Danio rerio: one gene and its partners. The protein of the gene in region 1 interacts with the protein of each later gene in a pairwise test. Links are inferred from orthologs where the notes say so. Each region holds a gene or a part of one and is shown in the gene's direction. Other genes may lie near its edges.

Region 1 (4,215 bases):
AGCCTTTGTTAGTAATTTTACGTTTAATTTTATCCTGCCAATCTAAACAAAGGTGAAGCTATTGTTGTCTGAATAAATGTCTTTTGTGTGGAATTAGTCAATTGGGTGACAATGACAAAACTGAAGTTTGTAATCTCTGCACTGCTAAAAAAATCCACTCACACCTAAAAGATATGCAGATTAGGTGAACTGAATTGACCCTCCATGACACCTGCAAAACAGACGTGCGTATAAAACAGATTTATGTGTGGATTAACTAGTCCTGGACTTTCTAGTGATATGTCATTTGATTGGCTGGCATTGTAGGAACCATTACTTACACTGGCCGGCATACAAACAAGCTCATTTATGGGAAAGAGAGAGGTATGTAAAATTTAGCCTTTTAAATGTTTTTTTTTTTTTTTACTATTATTATTACGTATATATTTGTTAATTAGAATGTCAGGAACAATACATTTAGCTTTCAAAGTTGTTAACTTGTTTGTGTTTCAAAATATCATCCTTTTTTGATGTCCACTGTAGTGGACACCAGGACCATCTTATTTTAATAAATGACTGCATGTTGTAGGGGGCAGAACTGAAGCAGAGAGGATTCTTTATAAGATAGTTGATGGAGACTATGACTTAGAGTCTGACAATCAGACAATAAGAGACAATTAGAGAATGACAATCAGTTTTAAATCGCTTTTATGTTAAATTTGTTTTGGATTAATATCTCTTCTTTTTCTTCTTTTTTTCAGTTTGGCTCTCTTTTAGACTAAACTGTTTCAGGAATTTCAATACAAAAGAAAACAAAAATGGCTTTTGTTTAGTCTGAGTTACATTAATATTGGATTAATATCTCTTTTCAGCCATTTTCTGGAGAGGGGTCTGGATGCAGACCGGGTGCAGTGCAATCTGAGCTGCATCCAATGCTTTTTAATGGGCTCACCTAACCCCACCCCTAACTCTACCCATCATCACAGTGATGTCACTCTCTCCATTGAGTGCATTGTGTCTGAGATTGCATTGCTGAGTGATGCAAATTCAGCTTGCATCATAAAGGCTGCATCCAGATATTAATATCCTGTACAGTTTTGTTGAGTTTGGCAGAATGGTCCTAAAATGGTCCTGTGGTCCACTACAGTGGACAGGCAGTAAAAATAAAAACAAATAAAAAAAAACAAAAACAAATGTGAAAACCCTAAATTGTAGATTTTTTTTAATCCAAAGGATGTTGGAAATCAGAAAAAGGAAAAAAATGTTCTGTGGGTCTCAGGGGGATGAATATGATTGTAGTATCTCTCCAATGTGACTGCGGCGCTAGAGATTGAATCCTCCGTCTTCATCATTCCCTGAAGAAAACAAACCGGAAAAGCGCAATTGACTGGCGGAAGTTTGTGTTTTCAAGATGGCGCTGGACGGGATCGAGCAAGTAAGTAATATTTTTGTTTTAAATCTTCTAATATAAACAGTGATGTTAGCTGTACTTTATTCTTTAGCACAACAAATTCCAGAGATATATTGTACGGTGACTGTAGCGTTTAGAAATAAGATACAATGTCTGACTTTAAGAGACGAATGAAGCAGAGTTTGCTGTCTCATTGTGTCACTGACTGGGATTGATCATAACATGGCATGACTAAATATAACATGTCAACTAAGGAAGTTTCATTATTACATACAAAAACGTTTATAATGGCTGTAGAGATATTTTGTGTGTAATAATGTCATGAATCTCTGGTAGTACTTCAGGAATGTCATGTCACTGAATTTAATGTGGGGAATCAAAAAACGCTGTTGAAAATAAAGCTGTAAGTTACTCTCGAACAATACACAGAGAAATGTCTTATTTCCCATCTCTACAGGATGACTAGATCATTTTAAAAGCAATAAACCGATTTCTTTAACGTTACCTGGCATAATCACTTTACTGTTAATCCCCCGACTGTATATCAATATCGTGACTGCATATCAATATTATTGTTAATATTTATGTTTGCAGATGGATATCGAGGACAGTAAAGGAGGCTCTGGTCTCCGACAGTATTACCTGTCCAAAATCGAGGAGCTTCAGGTAAGAATAGCAATCAAACACTTCACTTTTGCTGATACAATTTACTATTGAGATAAAGTTTAGGGTTCAAAAAGGGTTTTTCTGGAAGCTAGTAGCTGTTTCCTTGGCACATAATTTAAAAAAATGTGTCAAAAGCCAAACAATTATTCAATTTATTTATTTTTAAAGCGTTTGGTATAGATTTATGCATTATAGCCTTAAATTATAGAGAGAATTAACATGAACCGAAACTGCAGTCAGATTATGAAGCAGATCAATGCTGATTTTTCTTTTGAGGTGTCAGTGTAGAAATAAACAAAACAATAGATTAAAATTAATATATTAGAGACAATAATTAAATAGATACAAAATAGATTAAGATTAAAATATGGAACAATTATCAGATGGTAATTTCTGTCAATTTCCCTAACGGATAAACAGCACTCTGTAATGTTTCAGCATGCTTTCACTTTCATATTTGACATGACATGCTCATTTGCCGGTAGGAATGACATCCCACCCTACTCATAACACTTCATAAAACATATATATGGCTATTACACAACCATAATACACTGTGATGTAGCCTGGTTAATTAGTTCATTGGATCATTTTGCTTTCTCACTACAATCGATCAACTCCAGAATTTTTTTTTTATTCAAACTGAGACCACCTCATTTAGGTGATCTCGGACCGATGGTTTTGGGGTGGATCTGAGTGCGATTGCTGATTCGCATATATTAAACGAGACAGGTTGCAAAACAAATGTCTAGCACCCTATTTGCACACAATTGACAGACAGTCGCAGCCAAATTAAACTTTAGTGACAAGGCAGCACTGGGCCAATCAGGCCAGTAACGGTCCTGTCTACTGCCCAGAGCGTCTCGCACGCTTAATTTTATTTGGCTTACAGTTAAATGAAAATGTACAGTACGTTGAACTTAATAGGGTTTTTTTTTTACCCAAATAAGTTATTCCTTCAGGTAACAAGTTAATTTGATGAATTAAAGTATACTGCCATATACTGACAGTCATTTATGGTAAACAGAATAGTTTTTTTGTGATTATTACCAAAAATAAACTCATTACAAACAGTGAAACCAAGTACTTTATGCGTTTTTCTATTTTATAGTCTTAACACCTTAAAATAAATGTACTTGCACAATAAATGATTATTAAAACAATCACTTTAACTGTACTATTAGGTAAAACATTTTTGTGACATTATGAATTATCATTATTGTTTTTAAATGTGTTAAGAACTATGTTAAAATTCCATTTAATATTTTATTTATTAAAGTTTATTTCTTTAAAATAATATTATCTGCAAGTGTTTTTAAATGATACTTTTAAGATGTAAAGGACAGTAAAATTGCATTTTTAAATATGTAAAAATGTTAAATATTTACAAAAAAAACAAAAAAACATTTTACTCATCCTCAGACCATTGATTTGCAGTTGACTTTTTTCCTTAAGCAGGGTTCAACGCTAGAGATATTTTCTATTGGCTCGATTGGACCAGTGGTTCAAATTTTTACTTGCCCTGCCAAAAATTTCACAGGCCCTGTACCAAAAAAAAAAAAAAAAAAGCTATTTCTTAGCCACATATTTTAAATAATGTTTCAAAAATAATGTCTGTTAACCTAGAATTGGCGACGCAGTGGCCCAATAGGTAGTGCTGTCGCCTCACAGCAAGAAGGTCGCTGGGTCGCTGGTTCGAACCTCGGCTCAGTTGGCATTTCTGTGTGGAGTCTGCTTGTTCTCCCTGCATTCGCATGGGTTTCCTTCGGGTGCTCCAGTTTCCCCCACTGTCCAAAGACATGCGGTACAGGTGAATTGGGTAGGCTAAAGTGTGTGTGTGTGTGTGTGTGTTTTCCAGAGATGGAAGGCTGGAAGGGCATCCGCTGCGTAAAAAAAACGTGCTGGATAAGTTGGCGGTTCATTCTGCTGTGGTGACCCCGAATTAATAAAGGGACTAAGCAGACAAGAAAATGAATGAATGAATCTAAAATTTAAATATAAATTAAAAAAATATATATTTAGCAGTAAAATATAGCAATATGGAAAATGTGGAGGTTTTTTATTGCAAAACAAAAGGTGGCTGACTTAAAAATTTGCTTCTCGATTCTAAGACAATATAATAATTGACAAATAGTCGCAGGCAAATTAAAATTTAGTGA
Region 2 (4,279 bases), on another chromosome or scaffold:
AGCAGAAGACCACACCAGGTGCCACTCCTCTCAGCTAAGAACAGAAAACTGAGGCTACAATTCGCACAGGCTCAGCAAAACTGGACACTAGAAGATTGGAAAAACGTTGTCTTGTCTTATGAGTCTCGATTTCTGCTGTGACATTCGGATGGTCAGGTCTGAATTTGGCATCAATAACATGAAAGCATGGATCAATCCTGCCTTGTATCAACGGCTCAGGCAGCTAGTGGTGGTGTAATGGTGTAAGGAATATTTTTTGGAACACTTTGGTCCCATTAGTACCAACTGTGTCAATGTCACAGCCTACCTGAGTATTGTTGCTGGCCATGTCCATCCCTTTATGACCACAGTGTATATTCTGATCGCTACTTCCAGTAGGATTACGAAACCAGTCTGAGATGATTCGCGCTTTATGACATAATGCTTTATGACATGACTGCAGCTGATCATCTTGACCATGTCTACATGCCTAAATGCATTGTATTTTTGCCATGTGATTGGCTGATTGTAGATTTATGTTAACAAGCAGTTGGACAGGTGTACCTAATAAAGTGGCTCTCTGTGATCATTAAAAATCCCATGGCACTTCACGTAAAGAGTTGGGGTGTAACCCCGGTGTTCTGGGTGAATCATCTCAGACTGGTTTCTTAAGCATGATAATGAGTTCACTGAAGTCAAATGGCCTCCCCAGTTACCAGATCTCAATCCAATAGAGCACCTTTGGGATGTGGTGGAACGGGAGATTCACATCATGGATGTGCAGCAAATCTGCAACAACTATGTGATGCATTCATGTCAATATAGAACAAAATCTCTGAGGAATATTTCGAGTCCTTGTTGAATCTATGCCACTAAGGATTAAGGCAGTTCTGAAAGCAAAAGAGGGTCCAACCCAGTGCTAGTAAGGTGTACCTAATAAAGTGGCCCATCAGTGTACAAGGTCAATACCTAAAACTGTTATTTTCCCTACTTGATCAGCCAACAGCACGGACTAGTCTTGATAAAATATAGAAAGTTAGAAAATCAATCCTTTCCAGACATTAGTGTTTTATTCCTGACTAGTACCCATAAGAATGGGACGGGGAGCACATTCGATTACCCTAAAGACGTCTTACCCATTACCTTATTTTACATTGTGTCAAATAGAAAATATGTCTTCTTGGAAGAATTGTATCTAAATCCGCTGCCCTATTTTTGTTCCCAACTGTCCCTTTGTTTTTTTCTATCTCTTTTTATATCCCTGTGTTTGTTGTGTGAGGTCATTCCCCATGTCTTCCCTAATCCTTTGTGGTGGTCATCTTTCTGTCCCTGGGTTCATTTCTAATCCATCCATGGTCCTGTGCCGTAGCCGCTAACACCCTCCATCTGTCCCTGTCCTCATATAAAAACAACCCATTGTCCCACAATACATAACTCTCCATAATTCACAGGGGCTCTCCTCTCATCCTTTGGGTGCCCACGTCTCATCTTTTTACAGAGTGAATTATCCTACCATCAGCGAAAGGTAAAAGTCATTTTGTTGCCTCTCAGATATCTGCATTCTTTTCAATGTGGAGAACAGCACTTTTTATTTCTCTGTATAATTCTGCATGTATATTAGATTTTTCTGTTATCTCCAGTTCTTGTTCTTGCTAATAATGTTAGCTGTTATTTATCCAGCAATGTGTTTTGATTTCCTCAACCAGACTTTTCCTATTTTTCTGTAATTAAATAGCTACAGACAGAACCAAAACAGTGGTCGGAACTGCATTCCTGACCTCTTCCAGTATGAGCTTATGCTAATTTAATTAGTTATTCATTTAATAAAAAAAAAAAAGATTGTGTTCAGATAGTCGCATGAAATCATTAACTCGGTCTCTAAGCAATACAGATTCATATATTCTCCTCTGTGTCCTTTGCTAAAATTATCCCATCAGAATTCTGTGGTTAATGCTGTTCTGACCTCCCACACCCTTGCTGCATCCCCAAAATGCCTTTTTGTCTTGCACTTTCCCTATCTTGTTTCCTCCAAATTGTGTCTATCCCTGCTTGGGTCGATCCAGAGCAAAGAATATCTTCAGTTTGTAATGTGATAATTTTATACAGTGTTTGACCAAACTCATGCTCTGTAGATGCTCAAACCCTCATTAGTAAAGTAACAGGCGGGCAAGCTGTTGAAAGGACTCTGCTTTTAGACAGGCTTTCATAGAAGCCTTTGTCCAGAGACAATAAAGTATAAGAGGGTCGGTGACGGCTACATGCCTCATAAATTCTCTCAAGCGATGACATAGAAGCTATGAAGTTGTTTCTCATGATACAGTACTGATGTGAAAGATGAGGCACTTGAGAAGTCTGCCTGGGGACGTTTAATGACTGCAATCAAACAGTAATTGCTGTTATCTGCAGTTCCTGCTATCAAACCCTCAAGATCCAATTAGGGAAATCAAGCAAGGTCTTGTTATCTCACATACGTACTGTATGTGTAACTGTGTCTACTTACAAGACGGAAATGTGAAACACTACTACATGAATCTTGTTCTACCAAATGTGAAACTGTAGAGAAGTGTGAATGAAAGAGTCAGAAATGTATCTCATATGCCCTGTCTTAGTCTCTGCATTCCCACCTGTTCTCACCCCATCAGTCTTCATGTGAAGCATCCAATGGGCTGTCAGCACTTTGGAACAATGGAACAATTTGGTTCTTGTGCTGTTGGGTTTTGTCTCTCTCTATTTCTCTCTCATTGGTTTTTAAAGCCATTACAATAAACTTGTCTTATTCCTTCTTTCTGTATCTCCTTTTTTCCTTCAGCTTAATCATGTCTGATGTAGAAGAGGAATATGAGTGAGTACCGTTTCTTTTTGATGTTTACTTATGGAAACTATTCAAGTATTGGACTATCTGAAGGATCATAAGTAAATCCTTTTTCCCTACTTCTTACCTGATTCCTCATTCCATTTCCTTTATTGGTCTTTTAGGGAACAAGCAGAGGGTGAGTATTGTTTTTATTTCTTGCCCAGCTGAAACTACAGATTTAGTGATTATCTGTAAAGCCTTGGTCTAATGTGTACCCAGAGGCTAGTTATAGATACTTCAAGAGGCCCTGCTGAGCTTCAATTGGTTTCACAATCATGAGTCTGATTGGGTGCTTAGGCTTGTCAGCCTGCCTTTATCTGGAAGGGTTATTCCTGCACAGTGATCTCATGTTTCTGGTAGCCTTAACAAATGGTCTACACTTACATAATCCTTTGCACAGACTTGTCTATATTTATTCACTTATTATATTTCCTGATTGTCCTCACGTGCTCTCAGCACATAATTGATATTCGCTTATGTTTGCCTTTCATCAATCATCCTGTCATTGTGTCTGTATTTGTAAGCTGAAGAAGAGGAGGAGGAGACTACAGAGGAAGCTGGAACAGGTAAAATATTACAGACATGCAAAAACTGATCAAGGTTATAGAAAGAAAAGTATGTAATGGATTTTTTTTTTTTTTTGTAGATATAGTGCAAATTAGATATACTAAGTGAAAATATCACCAATTGTAAACAAGAGTGAGCTGTCATCTTTTTAGTTTGGAATCTGAATCAGGCATATACTGTAGTACTTGTCAAACATTTAATGACAGACCAGGGGTCTTGTAAATAAAACTTTCCATAGAAACCTATGCCAGAATAAATAGTTTTTAAAATTTTTTTATTATGCCACATGTGATGGTTTAAAGTGGTTAAAAAAAGTCAATGTTTAATACAAAAGTAATATGTTTACTTGCAGCTGTGCACATTCTCCCATCAAGTTTGTTTTTTAACGTTTGTGAGGGAAGTTGTGTATTATTTATATCGCCCTTTTCACAATAATTCCAAAGCAGCTTTACAAAAGTACATCCTTACTTTACAATTGAAATCAAGTTAAGGTGTTGAGTATACAGTTGACAATACATTGATCATTAACCTGCAGTAATACATTATATATTGTGCTTTCATACAAGTGGCATCTGTGTATATAATACTTTTTCTTTTTTTCTTTCTTTTTTTTTGAAGTGGACTGATCAACAAAATGATTAAGAACAGTTTGCATATTGTGTACTGCTTAAGACTTTGTGCTGTCCTCAATTGTCTTATAGGGTTCATCAGCCTCGGTTCTTTCAATATTCTTTGTCTGGGTGTCTAAGGACTCATTTATGCATGTTTTAGAGAATATGCAAAAATCCAAACAATTAATCGAACAGAATTCTATGTTCAGGCAGTCACATTAATTTTATCATTTAAAAATTTGGTATATCAAATATGAATCACCACACT
Region 3 (4,176 bases), on another chromosome or scaffold:
CAAGTACAACATTTTTACAGTCCTAACCAGCGTGGGTTCAAAGTTTGTTTTGTGCCCGGAAACTGCGAGTCGCCCACTGGCCGCGGAAGAAGCGCGTTCAGATTCGACCGTGTGCATTGTTTGTGTGTACGTTACGTTAGTTAACCCACGGCGAGAGAAAAAAAAATCCGCGCGGGATGGATTACAAAGCTGCGATAGCCAGCATAATTCGTTAGCATCTCGTCGACTAGCTCCTCCAGAGGCTCGATCGCGAGTACGGGGCTGCGGTGCGGCTGGACGCGGAGCGAGGCGACCCTCTGCGGGCTGCGCTGCCGAGGCGGTGGGCGTGTTTTCTCGGCGTGCTAGCATGTGAGCTGGCGCCAAGTTCTCGGCGTGAAGAAAAAGAAAGAAAAAAACAAGATTTACAAGTTACGGATTGGAGAGAAGCAGCAAAAGTCACATCACGCTTGATCGGAAAAGTTGCACGCAGGTACGAAGCGAGCAGTTTACTCTAACACACACTATTATCAAAGTGAACCTTGTGCGCTCACTAATGCAATTCAAAACAAAAGCTGCTAGTCTGCTAATGTTAGGTAACCTACTCAAGTGACTGCTTTTTTCATCCTGGCACATGAGATCCAGAGGGAGCGAGAGAGAGAGTTAATGTGTGTAGTTTGTGAGCTAAATTAACACTAGAATGTATTCGTTGTGTGTGTGTTTGGTGCACTGATTGAATGCGATTTAAACACCGACCTTGGCGAGTTATACAACATGGAAAACTTTGCACATGCCTCGGAGTGCAGCTAGTTCTGAAGAATGACCTAAAGCAGCAAATCCGCGCTAATGAAGCGTCAATTGTATTCAAAGCGATATAAAAGCGTGTAATGTTAATGAGTGTGATAGTAAAGCTGCGTATCAGCTCATCTGTTGCGGTAATTTTCAACTGCGACATCATCCAGACACAGCGACAATTTCGCGTCTGTGGCGTTTAGCAGCTCTTCAAAGTTACTTTTTTTGGAGATCAGTTTTCCTTCGCTAACTGTTTTTCTTTTATGTGAAGTAAAAGATTTGCTAAACGAATGATTAATTGCTCAACAAGGAAACGTATTACGGCTTCAGATGCGATACCTTTTATATAGCAGTTTGCGGTGTCACTTTCTTGTAAAATATTAGCAAACAATTTAGCATTGCATAAAGCTTAATATATAATTTGCTAATATATATTAAAATAATCACAATGTAATTAATTTTTCATTCATATATTTTGGCATATTTCTGTTTCATCGTTGTAATGTTTCATTGTAAATGAATGTTACTGTTTCAATATAAACATCTGCCCTTGTTGTTTTTCTGTCATCATAACAATGCTTTATGGGCAGAAACTAATTTGATAGTGCTCTGTATGTTTCATAAGTCCTGATGTTGATATAAAAATGTTTAAGCATTCAAACACTGGCGATATTCAGGTAATATCAGTCATATTAACCTCAGCAGTGTTGTTTAACAAAATGCCCTTATGGATCGTATAGGAGAGAAAGAGAGAGAGCGTGTGACTCTGACATGAAAGCACATTGTGCTGTTGGTATGTTGAGAATCTGTTGTAGTGTGCAGAGTTTGTTTAACATGTCTGTTGAACTGGCCTAGGACCTTTTCAGCACTCCAAATGGACAACTAGTTAGGGCATGTCCGACTAGCATGAACAAAAGTAAACTCCTGCAGATGTTTATTCTTATTTCTTAAGTTTGTTTGGGATGGAGTCAAGTGGTAAACCTTTAAAATCAATGTAATGGTTAGCCTTTTCCCATGTAGGATTGGCTAATAGATTTGCTCTGCATTGTATCAGATAATGTGTTTGTGTGGCTGTGACGCAGTGGCTGTTGTTGTTTTCTCTTTTCCTACGATTCTCCATTGTGCAGATTCAGGGCTGCAATGGTCTAATTTGAGTTTAAATGGAAAGAGATAGTCAAGCATGTAACAAGATTAGACGTGATACCTTGGAAGGGTTTCAAAATACTATTTCCCTGTTATTCAGCACTACTGTATGTCTTTCATATCTACATTACTGTTAAATGGTAAGATGTAGGCATGGGGCTGAATAAGATTGTGATGGTGTGATTTGTTTTGTGATTACTGCTCTAAAACAGATTATTTTTAAATGTCTGGATAAAAAACTAAAACTTTTTTCCTCTTTGAACACAAAACATTTTATTTTAAAAACATTTTAAACATTTTGGAGCAGTAAACATGTCGTGCTAAATAATTAAAATGAATCATTGACTTCTGCTGTCTTCATTGGTTTAAAAAACTATTTTCTGCTGGAGATACTGCTTTCCCAAAAAAAGCTAAAAAGAAACGTAAATAAATAAATCTTACATGTACTGTAGGAACGATATAGCAGAAAATTTTGGCGGTTTTAAAACCTTGACTTTTCCAAATCGCGGTATACCTTGAAAATGTTTATTGTTTCATGCCTAGTAAGATGTTGTGTATTCATTTATTTAAAATCAATACTGCTCTTCAAGTTCATCAAAGATTCTTCTTTCCAATACTTAAATAAATACAGTGTAACTTTTGATCATTGATAAGGAAAAAAAAAAAAGATTTCTGAAGGATCATATGACAGAAAAGACTTGAGTAATGACTGCAGAAAATTCCGCCTTGACTGTACAGAAATAAATGACAATACAAAACAGTGATTTTAATGAACTGTAATAAAATTTCACATAATTTCAGTGTTTCGGTTATTTTATACAGTCAATTGTGAGAGACTTTTTATAAAATCATTTTAAAAAGCTTGCTTTAAACCACACACTATCCACTAGGCATGGGACGATAACCGTTATCAATGTATTCCTCAGTTTGGAAAAGTCAAGAGTTTTCTGTTATACCGTTCATAAGGTATGTGTAAGATTTTTTTTTTGTTTTTTGTTTTGTTTTTTTAGGACAACAGCAGAGAAGATGTCAAAAGATACCAATTTAAATGGTAAAGAAATCAGTGTTTTTGAAGCTAATGAACAAAAATTCATTTGAATTATGAAGCCTGCCATGTTTACTGCTCCAAAATATTATAAATGTTTCTCTAAATAAATTCTATTGCATAAATGTGTAGAATTCACACCTTTTATGGTAGCCTATTGCACGTTTTCTGACGCTTCAGTTTGAATCTGAATCAGTTCATTTCTGTTTCTGTTGAAATGATTTAGTAGCTAGAACAAGCTCAACAATCTCTTCAAAAGAGGGACTCACAAATTAAAATTTTGAATTATTTTGGTTTATTGCCTGATAAGACTGAACAAAAAATAAATAAATAAATGAAAAACCCAAAATAGCAACAGCAAACATTGAATCGATTTTTGACCACCTCATATAGCCCAATTTTGTAGGAAAAATGCTCTTTATGTAACAAATTTCGTTTGTTATAATTTGTATCTTTATTTTAATGTATTTTTTGTTAGCCAGTTATCTACAAAATAATCAAAAAGAGCTAACACATTTCAGGTGAAGTGACTTGCAAATAATACTTTTTTCCAGCAATAAGGGAATTATGCATTAAAATCAAGTGTGCCTATTATAACATTTTAAAATGTGTATTTCTGACCTTTATTTAATAGATTTGAGTTATGAATTACAATATCGCAGTACTATTTGGCATCTTGATACTTCAGCTGGTATAGTATCGTAACCTGAATGAATAGTATCGCGACAACCCTTGTGGGTTCTGCATTTGAATTTACTACTCGACCAAAAGAAAAGAGCGTTCTATACAGTAGGAATGTGAGTAGTATGAATGAAGCCAATATATCATGATCGCGTGAAGCACCCGCTTCACTCCCATTCATGAATTTTCTCATGGTGCATCATAAGATCGCGTAGCGTCTATCGGGAGTGCACTTCAGAATCTTGCTGGAAGTAGCAGATCATCCGGGTACTTCTCGCATATTGATTTTGGATTTCTATGAATTCGGACATGCTACTCGCCTCGGCTTGCATACTGTTTTTACTATATAGAGTACTATGTAGTATGAAAGTAAGCAATTTTGGGCGCAACCATTGTATTCAAAGTGGGAAAAAGTTCTTGTTTTCTTTTACCCAGACATTTAAAAAGAATAAATTTTAAAGCATTAATCACAATATCGTCAAACTGATGATTTTATCCAAGGTTATCATTCTGCCAGAATCTATGAGCACACACCTCAT

The links.
Region 2: the proteins of psmc5 (region 1) and tnnt1 interact in a two-hybrid assay, tested with the Homo sapiens proteins (2 studies listed by BioGRID and IntAct). The two-hybrid records come from large-scale screens. The link is inferred for Danio rerio from reciprocal best matches to the Homo sapiens genes PSMC5 and TNNT1.
Region 3: the proteins of psmc5 (region 1) and vdrb interact in a two-hybrid assay, tested with the Homo sapiens proteins (2 studies listed by BioGRID). The link is inferred for Danio rerio from reciprocal best matches to the Homo sapiens genes PSMC5 and VDR.

The regions. Positions count from the first base shown.
Region 1 is NC_133187.1:10,713,015-10,717,229, forward strand, and holds the start of psmc5 (26S proteasome regulatory subunit 8), read left to right. Parts: upstream 1-1,383; 5' UTR 1,384-1,390; coding exon 1,391-1,414; intron 1,415-1,984; coding exon 1,985-2,056; intron 2,057-4,215.
Region 2 is NC_133178.1:30,978,612-30,982,890, reverse strand, and holds the start of tnnt1 (troponin T, slow skeletal muscle), read left to right. Parts: upstream 1-1,411; 5' UTR 1,412-1,504; intron 1,505-2,788; 5' UTR 2,789-2,795; coding exon 2,796-2,821; intron 2,822-2,955; coding exon 2,956-2,969; intron 2,970-3,357; coding exon 3,358-3,399; intron 3,400-4,279. UniProt on the Homo sapiens protein: Troponin T is the tropomyosin-binding subunit of troponin, the thin filament regulatory complex which confers calcium-sensitivity to striated muscle actomyosin ATPase activity.
Region 3 is NC_133181.1:41,552,053-41,556,228, reverse strand, and holds the start of vdrb (vitamin D3 receptor B), read left to right. Parts: upstream 1-1,352; 5' UTR 1,353-1,445; intron 1,446-2,921; exon of another isoform or gene 2,922-2,937; coding exon of another isoform or gene 2,938-2,962; intron 2,963-4,176.